Anolis sagrei: one gene and its partner. The protein of the gene in region 1 interacts with the protein of each later gene in a pairwise test. Links are inferred from orthologs where the notes say so. Each region holds a gene or a part of one and is shown on either strand. Other genes may lie near its edges.

What was found. The genes of interacting proteins can lie anywhere in the genome.
Region 2: the proteins of NUDT18 (region 1) and multifunctional protein ADE2 interact in binary tests that used the Homo sapiens proteins (3 or more experiments, as listed by UniProt). The two-hybrid records come from large-scale screens. The link is inferred for Anolis sagrei from reciprocal best matches to the Homo sapiens genes NUDT18 and PAICS.

What each region holds. Positions count from the first base shown.
Region 1 is NC_090027.1:21,780,969-21,788,341, forward strand, and holds the start of NUDT18 (8-oxo-dGDP phosphatase NUDT18), read right to left. Parts: upstream 3,009-7,373; 5' UTR 2,902-3,008; coding exon 2,701-2,901; intron 1-2,700. Other genes in the region: ITPRIPL1 (inositol 1,4,5-trisphosphate receptor-interacting protein-like 1), read right to left, coding at 5,885-7,373. UniProt on the Homo sapiens protein: Mediates the hydrolysis of oxidized nucleoside diphosphate derivatives. Hydrolyzes 8-oxo-7,8-dihydroguanine (8-oxo-Gua)-containing deoxyribo- and ribonucleoside diphosphates to the monophosphates. Hydrolyzes 8-oxo-dGDP and 8-oxo-GDP with the same efficiencies.
Region 2 is NC_090025.1:73,077,312-73,084,523, forward strand, and holds the start of multifunctional protein ADE2, read right to left. Parts: upstream 3,062-7,212; 5' UTR 2,894-3,061; coding exon 2,872-2,893; intron 1-2,871. Other genes in the region: PPAT (amidophosphoribosyltransferase), read left to right, coding at 5,291-5,418. UniProt on the Homo sapiens protein: Bifunctional phosphoribosylaminoimidazole carboxylase and phosphoribosylaminoimidazole succinocarboxamide synthetase catalyzing two reactions of the de novo purine biosynthetic pathway.

The DNA of each region.
Region 1 (7,373 bases):
TGGTATTATTATTAATAACTAGCCGTCCCTGCCACGCGTTGCTGTGGCCCACATGGGGGTTCTGTGTGGAAGGTTTGGCCCATTTCCATCATTTGTGGGGTTCAGAATTCTCTGTGATTGTAGGTGAACTATAAATCCCAGCAACTACAACTCCCAAATGTCAAGATTCTATTTTCCCCAAACTCCACCAGTGTTCACATTTGGGCATATTGAGTATTCGTGTCGAGTTTGGTCCAGATCCATCATTGTTTGAGCCCACAGTGATCTCTGGATGTAGGTGAACTACAACTCCCAAACTCAAGGTCAATGCCAACCAAACCCTTCCAGTATTTTCCGTTGATCATGGGAGAACTGTGTGCCAAGTTTGGTTCAATTCCATCATTGGTGGAGTTCAGAATGCTATTTGATTGTAGGTGAACTATAAATCCCAGCAAACTACAACTCCCAAATGACAAAATCATTTTTTTTTAGTGAAGGACATACATTGGGTTGTTAGGTGTCTTGTGTCCAAATTGGATGTCAATTCGTCCAGTGGTTTTTGAGTTCTGTTAATCTCACAAACAAACATTACATTTTTATTTATATGGATAATTTTATTTTTGCCTACCTCTCCTCCCGACTCAAGTAAGAGGAAGCACTCTTATTACACTGCAGTACCCAGCATCCCCCTTAAGCCTATCATCATCATCATCATCATCATCATCATCATCATCATCATTTCATCATATCTCACTTTTAGGTCTTGAATGAGATACAAAGCAGCATCAATTTCGAGAAGGCCTCTTTTCTTCCACTGCAAGGCCCAGCATCCCCTTGCCAAACAGTCAATGGCACCAGAGCTCCCTTTGGAGGGGGACTACATTTCCCATCAACCACCTCCCAAAGAGATGGGAAGTAGTTTCCCAAGAATCCGGCGAGAGCCCCCTTTCCCATTTCGGTGGGAAATGGGGGATGATGGGAATGGCAGTCCCCCCCTTTCCGGCACTGCAGGGAACATCATCCCCTGGATCCCCAAGGGAAATCCTTCCTATGGAAGTGCTTCTTTTCGAAGGAGACATGGCAAATTCCAGCATCCATTCCCCGCTCCCAAAGTAGCTTCCAGTTCATTTTAGAGGGGGGCTACAACTCCCATCATTGCCTGCCCACCCACACACTGGGATTATGGGAGTTGAAGTCCTCTCCTTTTTGGCACTATAGGGCTCGTCTTCCTCTGGATCCAAAAGAAAAGTTATTCCTTTTGGGGGAAGGACTACAACTCCCAGCATCCATACCCTCCTTCCTCTCTCGCCTAAAAGTAGCTTCTTAGGAGAGTAAGGAGGGAAAGAGGGGGAGATTATGGGCCCTGAAGTGCCAGAAAGGGGAGCACTACAACTCCCATCATCCCAGGCCCACTGATGGAAAGTGGCTTCCCAATAATCGGAGGGGGGCTTTCTGATTATAGGGAAATGGGGGTGATGGGAGTGGCAGTCCTCCCCTTTCTGCTACTAGGAGGCCCATCAGCCTGATGACTTTGAAGTGGGGGTGATGGGAGTGGCAGTCCTCCCCTTTCTGGCACTAGGGGGCCCATCAGCCTGATGACTGGGAAGTGGGGGATGATGGGAGTGGCAGTTCTCCCCTTTCTGTCACTAGGAGGCCCATCAGCCTGATAACTTTGAAGTGGGGGGTGATGGGAGTGGTAGTCCTCCCCTTTCTGGCACTAGGGGTCCCATCAGCCTGATGACTGGGAAGTGGGGGGTGATGGGAGTGGCACTAGGAGGCCCATCAGCCTGATGACTGGAAAGTGGGGGGTGATGGGAGTGGTAGTCTTTCCCTTTCTGGCACTAGGAGGCCCATCAGCTTGATTACTTTGATGTGGGGGGTAATGGGAGTGGCAGTCCTCCCCTTTCTGCTACTAGGAGGCCCATCAGCCTGATGACTTTGAAGTGGGGGTGATGGGAGTGGTAGTCTTCCAATTTCTGGTACTAGGAGGCCCATCAGCCTGATGACTGGGAAGTGGGGGTGATGGGAGTGGTAGTCTTCCCCTTTCTGGTACTAGGAAGCCCATCAGCCTGATGAGTGGGAAGTGGAGGTGATGGGAGTGGTAGTCTTCCCCTTTCTGGCACTAGGGGGCCCATCAGCCTGATGACTTTGAAGTGGGGATGATGGGAGTGGCAGTCCTCCCCTTTCTGGCACTAGGAGGCCCATCAGCCTGATGACTGGGAAGTGGGGGATGATGGGAGTGGTAGTCCTCCCCTTTCTGGCACTAGGAGGCCCATCAGCCTGATGACTGGGAAGTGGGGGTTGATGGGAGTGGCAGTCCTCCCCTTTCTGGCACTAGGAGGCCCATCAGCCTGTTGACTGGGAAGTGGGAGATGATGGGAGTGGCAGTCCTCCTCTTTCTGGCACTAGGAGACCCATCAGCTTGATGACTGGGAAGTGGGAGTGATGGGAGTGGCAGTCCTCCCCTTTCTGACACTAGGAGGCCCATCAGCCTGATGACTGGGAAGTGGGAGTGATGGGAGTGGCAGTCCTCCCCTTTCTAGCACTAGGAGGCCTATCAGCCTGATGACTTTGAAGTGGGGGATGATGGGAGTGGTAGTCCTCCCCTTTCTAGCACTAGGAGGCCCATCAGCCTGATGACTGGGAAGTGGGGGGTGATGGGAGTGGCAGTCCTCCCCTTTCTGGCACTAGTAGGGGGAGGACTTGGGCTGCGGCACCCACCTTCTCGTTGAGGAGCACGGCGAGGACGATGTAGGTGGTGTTCCTGCGGAGGCGGGCCTTCTCGGGGGGCTCCAGCGGGGCCGAGTCGTACCCGCCGCCCTCCGAGGACAAGGGCCAGCCCTGCCCGCCCAGCACCGCCCCCACCTCCGCCACGGCGCCCGCCCCGCCCCCGGCCATCGACCCCGCCCCGGCCTTCCGCATTTGGCAGCCCTCTGCACGCGCCCCGGAGCCCTCTCGCGCGGGGAGGCGGCGCCCGCGAAGGCCCTGGGCCCCAGGCAGGCCACGCCCACCGCACGCCAAGGGAGAAGGCCACCGAGGGGAGGGAACAAAGCGGGCGTCGCTCTTCATTGGACAAAGCGCATTGCGCTTTGTCCAATGAAGAGCGACGGCCGCTTTGTTCCCTCCCCTCGGTGGCCTTCTCCACTGGCGTCCGGTGGGCGTGGCCTGCCTGGGGCCCGCTATTCGTTACTCATTGGCTCGACGCAAAGCGCTCCTCGCTTCTCATTGGACGGAGCGCTCTTCTCCTCCCCATTGGGTAAAGAGTCGAACCCTCCTCGCTTCCCCATTGGCTGGACGTAAAACGCTTCCCGCTTCTCATTGGACGAAACGCTCATCTCGTACCCATTGGGGTAACAGCTCAGCGGTATTCACTCCTCATTGAACAAAGTGGTAATCGCTTCCCAGTTGGGTGAAGAGATTAAAAGATGGGCTCAAAGCCAACCTTAAAATCTCTGGCATAGACACTGAGAACTGGGAAGCCCTGGCCCTTGAGCGCTCCAGCTGGAGGTCAGCTGTGATCAGCAGTGCTGCAGAATTTGAAGAGGCATGAATGGAGGGTGAAAGAGAGAAACGTGCCAAGAGGAAGGCGTGTCAAGCCAACCCCGACCAGGACTGCATTCCATCTGGAAACCAATGCCCTCACTGCAGGAGAACATGCAGATCAAGAACAGGGCTCCACAGCCACCAACGGATCCACAAGAATACTGGTCATGGATGGAAGACTAGCCTACTCGTCCAACGAGGGATCGCCTAAGGGTGAAGAGTCAAGTGCTCCTCATCTCCCCATTGGCTGGGCCAACTTGGGCCCTCCAGGTGTTTTGGGTTTCAACTCCCACCATTCCTTTTTTTTATATAGAGATAATAATTTTTATTGATTTATCACAATTACTACATTTGATATACAATTGTTATTACTGTTACATTTTGTACAACACACTCTTTAACATGTTATTTTATTGTTTTGCTCAAACATTTCCCCCCTTTATTTCCACCACAGTGCTCCCACCATTCCTAACCGCCTACCTGGTGGAGGGCCCATGTTGGCCCAGGCCTGGGCTAGACTGAAAGCGCTCCTCGCTTCTCATTGGACAAAGACCTCCTAGTTTCCCCATTGGCTGACCAACAAGGTGCTGTTCTGGGTTACTGTGATTATAAGAACTGGATTTTATGAGGCCACTTCTACACTTCTACATAGACATTCCAGATAATCTGCTTTGAACTAGATTATATGGCAGTGTAGATTTGATGGGGAGATATTAGAAATATAGATATTTGTTTATGTATAAATTGTGTACTTTACAAGCACTGAAATGTATCAAGTTCTCTCTGTATCAGAAATTCAAGCTGACAGGACAAGCAAGCTGCGTCCAGGCACAGCAAGAGGGAGGTGAACATTAAAGGGTGGGGGGAGAGATAAGCCCATCCTAGTGGCACCGAGCCCAGGCTATAGCTAAGTAAGGAGCCTATCTCTTCCTCATGACAGGTCAAAGTAGGCCCCTTGATTGATGGATGTAGGCTGTATGCTGCTCTTTAGAAAGAAATACAGAGACATGCCTTTTGTATGTTGGAAGATAGAATTTGATATTTCTGTGATGCTAAAGTGATGCAGAGAATTATTATTTTTTTGTCGTGTCAGGGAGCGACCTTAGAAACTGCAAGTTGCTTCTGGTGTGAGAGAATTGGCCGTCTGCAAGGACGTTGCCCAGGGGATGCCCGGATGATTTGATGTTTTATCATCCTTGTGGGAGGCTTCTCTCATGTCCCCACATGAGGAGCTGATAGAGGGAGCTCATCCACCTCTCTCTGGATTCGAACCTGCGACCTGTTGGTCTTCAGTCCTGCCAGCATAGGGGTTTAACCCACTGCGCCACCGGGGGCTCCTGCAGAGAATGATGTCAGTGTATGTAGATGCATGTTTGCCTGCATTTGAAGTGTACAAAAAGGCAGTCAACGCCTTTATCAGGCACTCTTAAGTGTTTTTGGACACAGCTCCACTCCAGAGTCCCAGCTGGAAATAAACCCGTGCTTTTCCAGACGTCAGGAACTCTCTTTGTCTCTTTTCCTAAAACCTTCTGATTTTATATTATTTTAATTGTTTTTATTGTATTCTTATGCTTTGATGTTAACTGTAAACCGCCCTGAGTCATCTGCGGGCTGAGAGGGGCGGTATATAAATGTAGCAAATAAATAAATAAATAAATATAATCCAGTTCAAAGCAGATAATGTGGATTATCTGCTTTGATCATCTGGATTATATGGCAGTTTAGAGGGGGCCAAAGCGATGTCAAACTACATTAATTCTGCAGTGTAAATGCACCCCAAATTACAGCTTTTCCTATAGTTGCCAGAGCAGACCTTGGGAGTTAAAGGTAAATGTAAACGAGTGGTACCTATTGATCTACTCACATTTGCCTGTTTTCAAACTGCTAGGTTGGCAGAAGCTGGGGCTAACAGTGGGAGCTCACCCTGCTCCCCAGATTTAAACCTTACGGTCAGCAAGTTCAGCAGCTCAGCGGTTTAACCCACTGTGCCACCAGGGGCTCCTCAATTGGGAAAGTAGATGGTGTATAATAAATCAAACCACATTGAAATAAAATTTGAGAACACCGCTTGTCCAGCCTTTATTTGAAGTCTAATAGAACAAATATGTGAGGAACTGGGGTATATAAAAATACAGAATCATAGCTGCTGCAAGGACATTGATTTGAAACCCTTTATCTGCCTTATCCGTAAAGCATGACTTAGGAAAACAGCCGAATTTGGATCACTCTTCAGTGGTACCATCGCTCCCTTGTGTGTCTAATTCAAGTTTGTTCAGAACCATTGGAAGCAGTATCAACCACTTTCCCCGCCATTGGGCTCTATGGTTCCTCGATGGGACTCTGGGAATGAAGCTGACCCAAGCTACTCTTCCTGCTTTGAGTAGAGGGCCCTCACCCGTTCCACGATCTCTGTGGCTTCCTTTATGGCTTTGGCATGGAGACCATTGTTGGCTGCCAAGTGATCAAAAAGATTGAGGGGCTCAGCACTCCGGAGGACTTGTGGCATCGGGATCTGGATCGGCAACGAGATGTTCCCGATGAGGAAGTGCTCGAGATATTTCTCCCGCACTGCCGTGTGCAAGAACAAGAGGATGTCTTGGAGCCTCGTTGCCAGGTTCTCAGGGTTCCAGTCGGAGACCGGCCGCAGGAGCAAGAGGTGCATCAAGCAAGTCTTGTAATGGTAGTCAGTGAGGACAGGGTTCTTACCGGACGGACTACCAGAACCCTTGAGATACATCAGGATCTGGAGACACTTCAAGTGACAGCTCCATTCGGGTGCCCGTTGGCCAAACCATTCAAAGAAGAGCAGTTCCTGAACAGCGAAGGTCTTCAGCCAAATGGTGCCCTTGGTAGGGTTGGCGTCTCCACAGTGGGTGACTAGGAAGACCAAGGAGTCTCCTTGCTGGACACCGAGGGTGATGTCCACCAGAACAGAACGCCCAGAGTGGAAGGCCAGCTTCAACCGGCATGTTGTGGCCGACGGCATGAGCGTGAGGTCGAGGGTGTACCTCTCACGGAGGTTCCTCCAAGCCTTGACCACCAAATTCTGGTACCAGCGGATGGTCTTCCCCACATCCAAGTGGGAACTGGTGCACAAAATGTGGAGGAGGAATGCGCCTTCTTCACTCAGATCCCGGTCTGGGTGGTGGAGGAAGCACACCACGTCACCCAGGAGCCGCTGCCTCTTGCAAACGCAGTCCATCTCCACCAAAATGTGGCCATGTTTGCTGGGTCCACCCTCAGCATCACTGCTTTCAATTTGGAAGGAATGGCCTTTGGGCGGCAGGAGGGGCACCAGGACAGTGAAGGGTTTCGACAGCCGTTGTATGTGCCACCCTTCAAAGGCGCTGCCCACTCCGATGCAGTTCTCCATTAGAGGAAGGGTGTTCTGGTATGGAAGGGTTTTCCGACCTTCATCCAACAAATCGTTGACGAAGGTCTCCACAAAATCGCACACGTTCTTCAAGTCGCCGTTTTCCAGTCCAATATAGCAGTCATAGAAGGCCTCCAGCTTCTTCTGGTTGGGTTTGCCAACTTCCGGCTCCATGTCCGTGTCGTCGTCGTATTCATCTGTGGTGGACGTGCTGGAGCCATCCGTGCTGGAATCGTAATGGGTGTCCTTTTCCATCGTGTGCCTGCAGCAGCCAAAGACAACAAGGATGATGAGGCCCACGTAAGGCCAACCATCCCAGGTCCCGTCTTCCACCGGCAGGTCAGGCTTCACAAATTTCTCCTGCTTCTGCTTCGGGACCCAGCTCCAGGCCTTCTGCTCAAATTCCACTTGCAAGTAGTCCATCTCCTTGTTCAACAATTCCTCGTGCTGCTGGATCCGGCCCAACGTGGCAGGATCT
Region 2 (7,212 bases), on another chromosome or scaffold:
ACTGCTTGTCAATTTATGGAAAAACCATTAATTTCATAGGTTTGTTTTTTTTTTTTTACATAGAGTTGGCTGTATTGGATCCTTCCTCTGTACCTGGCATTATTTGCAGTCTATATTTCATCAGAATGTTTGTGTGTGTGTGAAGGGGACTGGTACAGCTTTAAATCATAACTCCTTGATTCTCAACATCCCCATTAGCATGGTCACTGGCCATCTTGGCTAAGGGATTTTGGGATGTGTGCTTCAAAACAGTATCTTCTCCAAACTTGGGGAAGACATGGGGAAAAAATTATTAATTTTTTTCTTGTAGGAACTCAAAAAGATTACAGACAACATCAAAACCGTTATAGCCTCATGGCTTTGTAGAGCCTGTTACTTTGTATCATCAGAATTTTCCACCATCCAGTTCTGCAAGTCACCTTATGACAAGTCCATAGGGTTTTCCTTAGGCAAGGAATCCCCAGAGGTGGTTTAACAGTCCCTTCCTTTGAAATATAGCCTTCAGAACCTGGCATTTGTTGGTGGGCTCCCAGCCAAGTCCTTACTAGGGCTGATCCTACTTAGCTTCCAACATCTGAGCTTAATAAAGACAGTTCATGTAATTTGCTTGGATATATTGTAAGACTAAACCCTATCAGGAAATTGAGCCTGCAAAGAAATTTCATGTAACAACACCTTGGCAAACCCGAATTATAGAATCATTCTGTTAAGGTTTAGATAGGTTCGGTCTACTTTCTGAAATCAGCCTGGGAAAGAGCACATCTAGATGGCTGAGGTCTTGAACAGGCTTGGTCTTCCAGGTGTTTTGGACATCAGTTCCCAGAATTCCTTTGCATCCACTGAGTCATCAGAAAGCAGAGATGTCACTGTGTTGTCAAAGGCTTTCATAGCCAGAATCACTGGGTTGCTGTGAGTTTTTGGGCTGTATGGCCATGTTACAGTAGTATTCTCTCCTGACATTTCACCTGCATCTATGGCAGGCATCCTTCTGTTTCTGAGAGGTGTCCCTTTCTTACTGCCTTGATTCTGATGTTTTTAAATACCCGTAATCAGTTTTAAGGTAAAGGTTTTCCCCTGACATGAAGTCCAGTCGTGTCCAACTCTGGGGTGTGGTGCTCATCTCTATTTCTAAGCCGAAGAGCCAACGTTGTCCATAGACACCTCCAAGGTCATGTGACCTGAATGACTGCATGGAGTGCCTTTACCTTCCCACCAGAGCAGTACCTATTGATCTACTCACATTTGCATGTTTTCGAACTGCTAGGTTGGCAGAAGCTGGGGCTGACAGCGGAAGCTCACGCTGCTCCCCGGATTTGAACCAGCGACCTTTCGGTCAACAAGCTCAGCAGCTCAGCACTTTAATCTACTGTGCCACCAGGGTCCAACCGGTATTACCAATCTGGAATTCCAGACAGCCAACAATCAAGTGTCAGTTAACACCTCCAAAGCAAAGGATGTCCCCAGGCAGCAACAGCCAGACTTTGCAGCTGCAAAGCTACTCACCAGCTAATCAAGGTGGCCAATTGCAAAATTCACACTTGCATCAAACAGACAAGAGTTCTTTCTCCCACCCTGGACATTCTACACACACCCCACTTGCCTCATTCCCACAGACCTTCGAACAAATCTCTGAGGATGCTTGCCACAGATACAGGTGAAATGTCAGGAGAGAATGCTACTGGAGCATGGCCATACAGCCTGAAACACTCACAGCATTCCAGAGGTGTCGCTATTTCAGGCTGTTTCAAAATGATGTTTAAGGGTCCTTCCACACAGCCATTTAACCCAGAATATCAAGGCAGAGAATTCACAATATCTGCTTTGATGTAGATTATCTGAGTCCACATGGCCATATAACCCAGTTCAATGTGGCTTTTATAGAGCTGTGTGGAAAGGGCCGAAGAAAAGTGGTTTCACTGGGCAGGTGATCACCTGGAACCAGTTTGAGATTCAGACGCTATTTACACAAACCACTGATGTACATTAGAATCATAGAATTGGAAGAGACCTCATGGGCCATCCAGTCCAAGCCCATTCAGCCAAGAATCTGGAGAATTGCATTCAAAGCACCCCCCTTTTTTTTTTGGTCATGTCAGGAGCAACCTGAGAAACTGCAAGTCGCTTCTGGTGTGAGAGAATTGGCCGTCAGCAAGGACGTTGCCCAGGGGGCGCCCGGATGATTTTTAATGTATTATGATCCTTGTGGGAGGCTTCTTTCACATCCTCGCATGAGGAGCTGGAGCTGGTAGAGGGAGCTCATCCGCCTCTCCCCGGATTCGAACCTGCGAACTATTGTCTTCAGTCCTGCTGGCACAGGGGTTTAACCCACTGTGCCACCGAGGGCACCCTCTACCTGTCTGCACCCCTGTCAGATAGCCATCCAGCCTCTGTTTAAAAGCTACCAAAGAAGGAGCCTCCATCACTCTGCCGCAGAGAGTTCCACTGCTGAACAGCTCTCACAGTCAGGAAGTTCTTCCTAATGTTCAGATGGAATCTCCTTTCTTGTAGTTTGAAGCCATTAAGATCTTTCTTTTATGCACTTTTGTGGGTGTTTGTTGCCTAAAGGCCACACTCTGAAACTAACTTTGAACTGCGTTAAATAGACAGTGCAGACAGGGTCTCAGCCATCCATTTTGGATTTTGCAGCATCTTAGGTTTAGGAAACCTGGGGAAAGTATACTCACCAAAGCAGAGGAGGCTTCTGGGAGCTGGAGTCCCAAACACCTGGAGGACTCAGCATGTGGCCTCCAACTCCCAGAAGCCCTAGCCAGCTTGCCCAATAGTCAGGAATTCTAGGGGTTAAAAGACTCCTTTGTTGTGGGGCATTCAGGAGGCCTTCTTTGGGGGGAGGACAAGAAGGCACTCACTCACCTGTAGGGCGGATGGGAGCCATGGCTGCTGCAGCAGGAGCCCGAGGCGCCTAGGAGTCAAAGGCAAAGAGAAGTTAGCACAAGAGGAAGAAGGAGAAGAGGAAGGAGGAGGAGAAGGAGGAAAAGTTTGCTCGCGAGAGCCGTCCGCGGAGGAGCAAGTCCGAGGAGGAGAGAGAGGGCGCGCGCTGGCGGGGCGGCGTAAGAAGGGCGGGCGGCGGAAGGGGGCGGCCAATGAGGGGCGGGGAGCGCGCCCCGAACGCGCCAATGGCAGCCCCGCAAACAGGGCTTGCGCCACAGAATACACACACTCAATGGCGCGCGCACACGCCCCCTCGCAGCCCAATTTCCCCCAAGCATTCCCTCCAATCTGAGGCCAGTTCTGGCGGACACCCCTCGCCCGCCTCTTTCCCGCCCCAAAGCCCCGCGGGCCATGGCGAAGTTGCACTCTCAACAACTCCCGCTTCTATTCCAGCGCCCCCAAGTCCTCGCAAACTTCACCCTTTCTCCCTCTTCCTTACCCCCTCCCTTTCTTCTCTCCTTCCCTTTCACCCCTCCTTCTCTCTCTTTCCCCTCCCTATTTTTCCTCCGACTTTCCCCACTCCTTCCCTCCTTTTCCCTTTTTACTTTCCCTCCCTCCTTTTTTGTCTTTCCCCCCTCTTTCCCCTTCTCCTTCGCTCCTTTACCTTCTTCCTTTTCTGTCTTTTCCCTCTCCTTCCCTCCTCCCTTTTCCTCATCCCCTTTCTCTCTTTCCCTCCCTCCTTCTCTTTCCCCTTTCTTCTTTCCTTCCTTTTCCTCTCTTCCCTTCCCTTCATTTTCCTTGTCTTCTTTCACTCCCTTCTGCCTTTAACTCTTCTTTCCCCCTCTCCTTCCTTTCTTCTCCCTCATTCTCTTTTCCCTTCCCTCCTCTTCCCCTCTCTTCTTCCCCTCTTTCTGTCTTCCCTTCCCTTCATTTTCCCTGTCTTCTGTCTCTCCCTTCTGCCTTTAATTCTTCTTTCCCCCTCTTTACTTCCTTCTCCCTCAATCTCTCTTCCCTTCCCTCCTCTTTCCCTGTCTTTTCCTTCTCTTTCCCCCTCTACTTCCTCTCTTTTCCTCCTTTTCCTTTCTCTCCCCCTTTCTCTCCCTTCTTTCCCTCCTTCCTTGTGTCTTTCCACATCTTTCTCCTTCGCTCCTTTCCCTTTCTTCTTTCCCTTCTTCCTTTTCTGTCTTTTTCCTCTCCTTCCCTCCTCCCTTTTCCTCTTCCCCTTTTCTCTCTTCCCCTCCTTCCTTGTGTCTTTCTTCCCCTTTCACCCTCTCCTTCGCTCCTCTCTCTTTCCCTTCTTTCCCTCTCTTCTTTCCCACTTTCTCGCTTCCCTTCCCTTCATTTTCCTGTCTCCTTTTCCTCCCTTCTGCCTTTAATTCTTCTTTCCCCCTCTCTTTCCCTCCTTTTCCTTTCTTTCCCCCTTTCTCTCCTTTCTTTCCCTCCTTGTGTCTTTCCTCATCTTTCACCTTCTCCTTTGCCCATATTTCCTCTCTTCTTTCCTCTCCTTTCTCTCTTCCCTTCTCTTTATTTTCCCAGTCTTCTTTTCCTCCTCTTTCCCCCTTTTTCTTTCTTCCCCTCCCTGCTCTTTCTCTCATTTTCCCTGTCATCTTTCCTCTCGTTCTCTTTCCCCCTTTCCTCCCTCTTTTTCTCTCCTTTTCCTTTCTTTCCCCCTTTCTCTCTCTTCCCTTCTCCCTTTCTCTTGCTTATTTCCTCCCTCCTTCTGTCTTAGCCCTCATTCCCTCTCCTTCCCTCCCTCCCCTCTTTCCCCGTTTCCTTTCTTCTTTCCTCCTCTTTCCCCTCTCCTTCCTTCTTTCATGTCTTCTCCTCCCTCATTCCCCCTCCTTCCCTCTCCCTATTTCCTTTCTTCTTTCCCCTCTCCTTCCTTCCTTCTTTTACCGTCCCTTCCCTCCCTCCTCTCTCTTTCCCCCTCCCTCTATTTCTCTCTTTTTCCAGGAAGGATTCCCTCAGGAAGCAAAAGTAAACAACTCTTCTTTCTTATCCCCAATCAAAGTCAGAGAGGGAAAATCAAGTTTCAGCTCGGAAAAGCAGGAAATACCAAGGGAACCCTAAAAGAGGGGAGGCGGGGACTGGGGAGGGGCGACTTCCTCACAGGAGGGGGGGGGGCTAACTTTTTTGTTGCCATGAGACCAAATCACACATACACACGAGGGAGGTGATGGAGTCCTAAAGCAGAAAAAAGGGGCAGGACTCTCAACTTAGGAGCAGCCGCGAGACTAGTGCGCGCCCTCTCTCTATGCAAATCAGGCCTGTATGCAAATGAGGCGCCGAGGGGCGGGAAAAAAGGAGCAGGCTCGGTCCTCGCCCACAAGCCCAAGCGGCCACAAGCGCCGCGCCAGGAGCGACAACAACAGGGGCGGCCGCGACACGTGTGCGACGCACCATGGAGTTTGAGGAGCTGGGCATCGGGGAGGAGTGCGGGGTCTTCGGATGCCTCGCCGCCGGGGTCTGGCCCACCGAGCTGGACGTGCCGCATGTGATCACGCTGGGGCTGGTGGGGCTGCAGCACAGGTAAGGGAAGGGGCTTTGGGGGGCCACACATAAGGGGGCTCTGCAGGGAAAGGTCTGATCTCCAGTGCTGGAGCCTTGGAGGCAACCAGTTGTGGCTGTGAGTCTTCCTAAAGCTTGCATCTACAGCCAGGCATGGGCAAACTTCGGCCCTCCTCCAGGTGTTTTGGACTTCAACTCCCACAATTCCTAACAGCCGGTAGGCTGTTAGGAATTGTGGGAGTTGAAGTCCAAAACACCTGGAGGAGGGCCGAAGTTTGCCCATGCCTGGCTGTAGATGCATCTTGATTCTTCTCATTGTCCCACAGTATTGAGCATTAGCAGTTACACTACTTTTTGCTAGTGTTTTGCCACTGTTTTTGCCCTCATACTTACTGAGGGCCCTTCCACACAGCCCTAAATCCCAGAATATAAAGGCAGGAAATCCCACATTATCTGATAACCCAGTTCAAAGCAGATATTGTGGGATTTCCTGCCTTGATATTCAGGGATATAGGGCTTTGTGGAAGGGCCCTGGTTGATAAATCTGATGTCTTGCAGGTAAATTTGCTCCGAACACCCCAACTTTTCCACATGTTTTATTACACAGGGCCTTCACCGATTCCGGTCAAAGTTTGTGTTTTCACCAAACAGTGATTGCATTGAATTTGCTCAGCATCGAAGGCCCCTTCCACACAGCTGTGTAAAATCCCACATTATCTGCTTTGAAATGAGTTATATGGCATTGTGGACCCAGATATTTATTTATTTATGTATTTAAAGCATTTATATTCCGCCCTTCTCAGGGCAGAGCACAGCACATACACGGCAAACATTCAATGCCGGGACACAAATTCACATACAATACATAAACATAAAAAAATACATTAAAATACATCATTTAAAACTGTCCTAGCCATCCGCATCAAATCCAATTGGCCCTGTTATCTTTTCCACTGCCGCTTCATTGCCCTGTCCTGAAAGCTTGGTCCCACAGTCAAGTTTTTACCATCCTTCTAAAGGACAGGAGGATGGGGGTGACCCTCCATAGCAGGGGAGCAATCACCAAGAAGACCCTGTTTCTCGTCCCCACCAATTGTGCCTGTGACAGTGGCGGGACAGAAAGCAGGGCCTCCTCAGAAGATCTTAATCTCCATGATGGTTCATAGGGGAAGATGTGTTCGGACAGGTAATTTGGGCCGGGGCCGTTTAGGGCTTTATAGGCCAAAGCCAGCACTATGAATTGTGCCCGGTAGCAAACTGGCAGCCAGTGGAGGTGGCATAACATGCGAGTTGTGTGCTCCCTGTATGCCACCCTAGTTATTAACCTGGCTGCCTCTTCTTGGACTATTTGAAGCTTCCAAGCAGTCTTCAAAGGCAACCCCACATAGACTGCATTGCAGTAGTCTATCCTAGAGGTAATGAGAGCGTGGACCACCGTGGCCAAGTCTGACTTCCCAAGGTACGGGCGCAGCTGGCGCACAAGATAACTCGGGGCTCTTCCACACAGCTATATAACCAAGGCAGAATAACCCACAATATCTGCTTTGAACTTGAATATCTGAGGGCACTTCCACACAGCCCTGTATCCCAGAATATCAAGGCAGAAATAATAATATAAGGAGACCCCGGTGGCGCATTGGGTTAAACCACTGAACTGCTAAGCTTGTTGACTGAAAGGTCGCAGGTTCAAATCCGGGGAGCGGTGTGAGCTTCCGCTGTCAGCCCCAGCTTCTGCCAACCTAGCAGTTCGAAAACATGCAAATGTGAGTAGATCAATAGGTACTGCTCTGGCAGGAAGGTAACGGTGCTCCATGT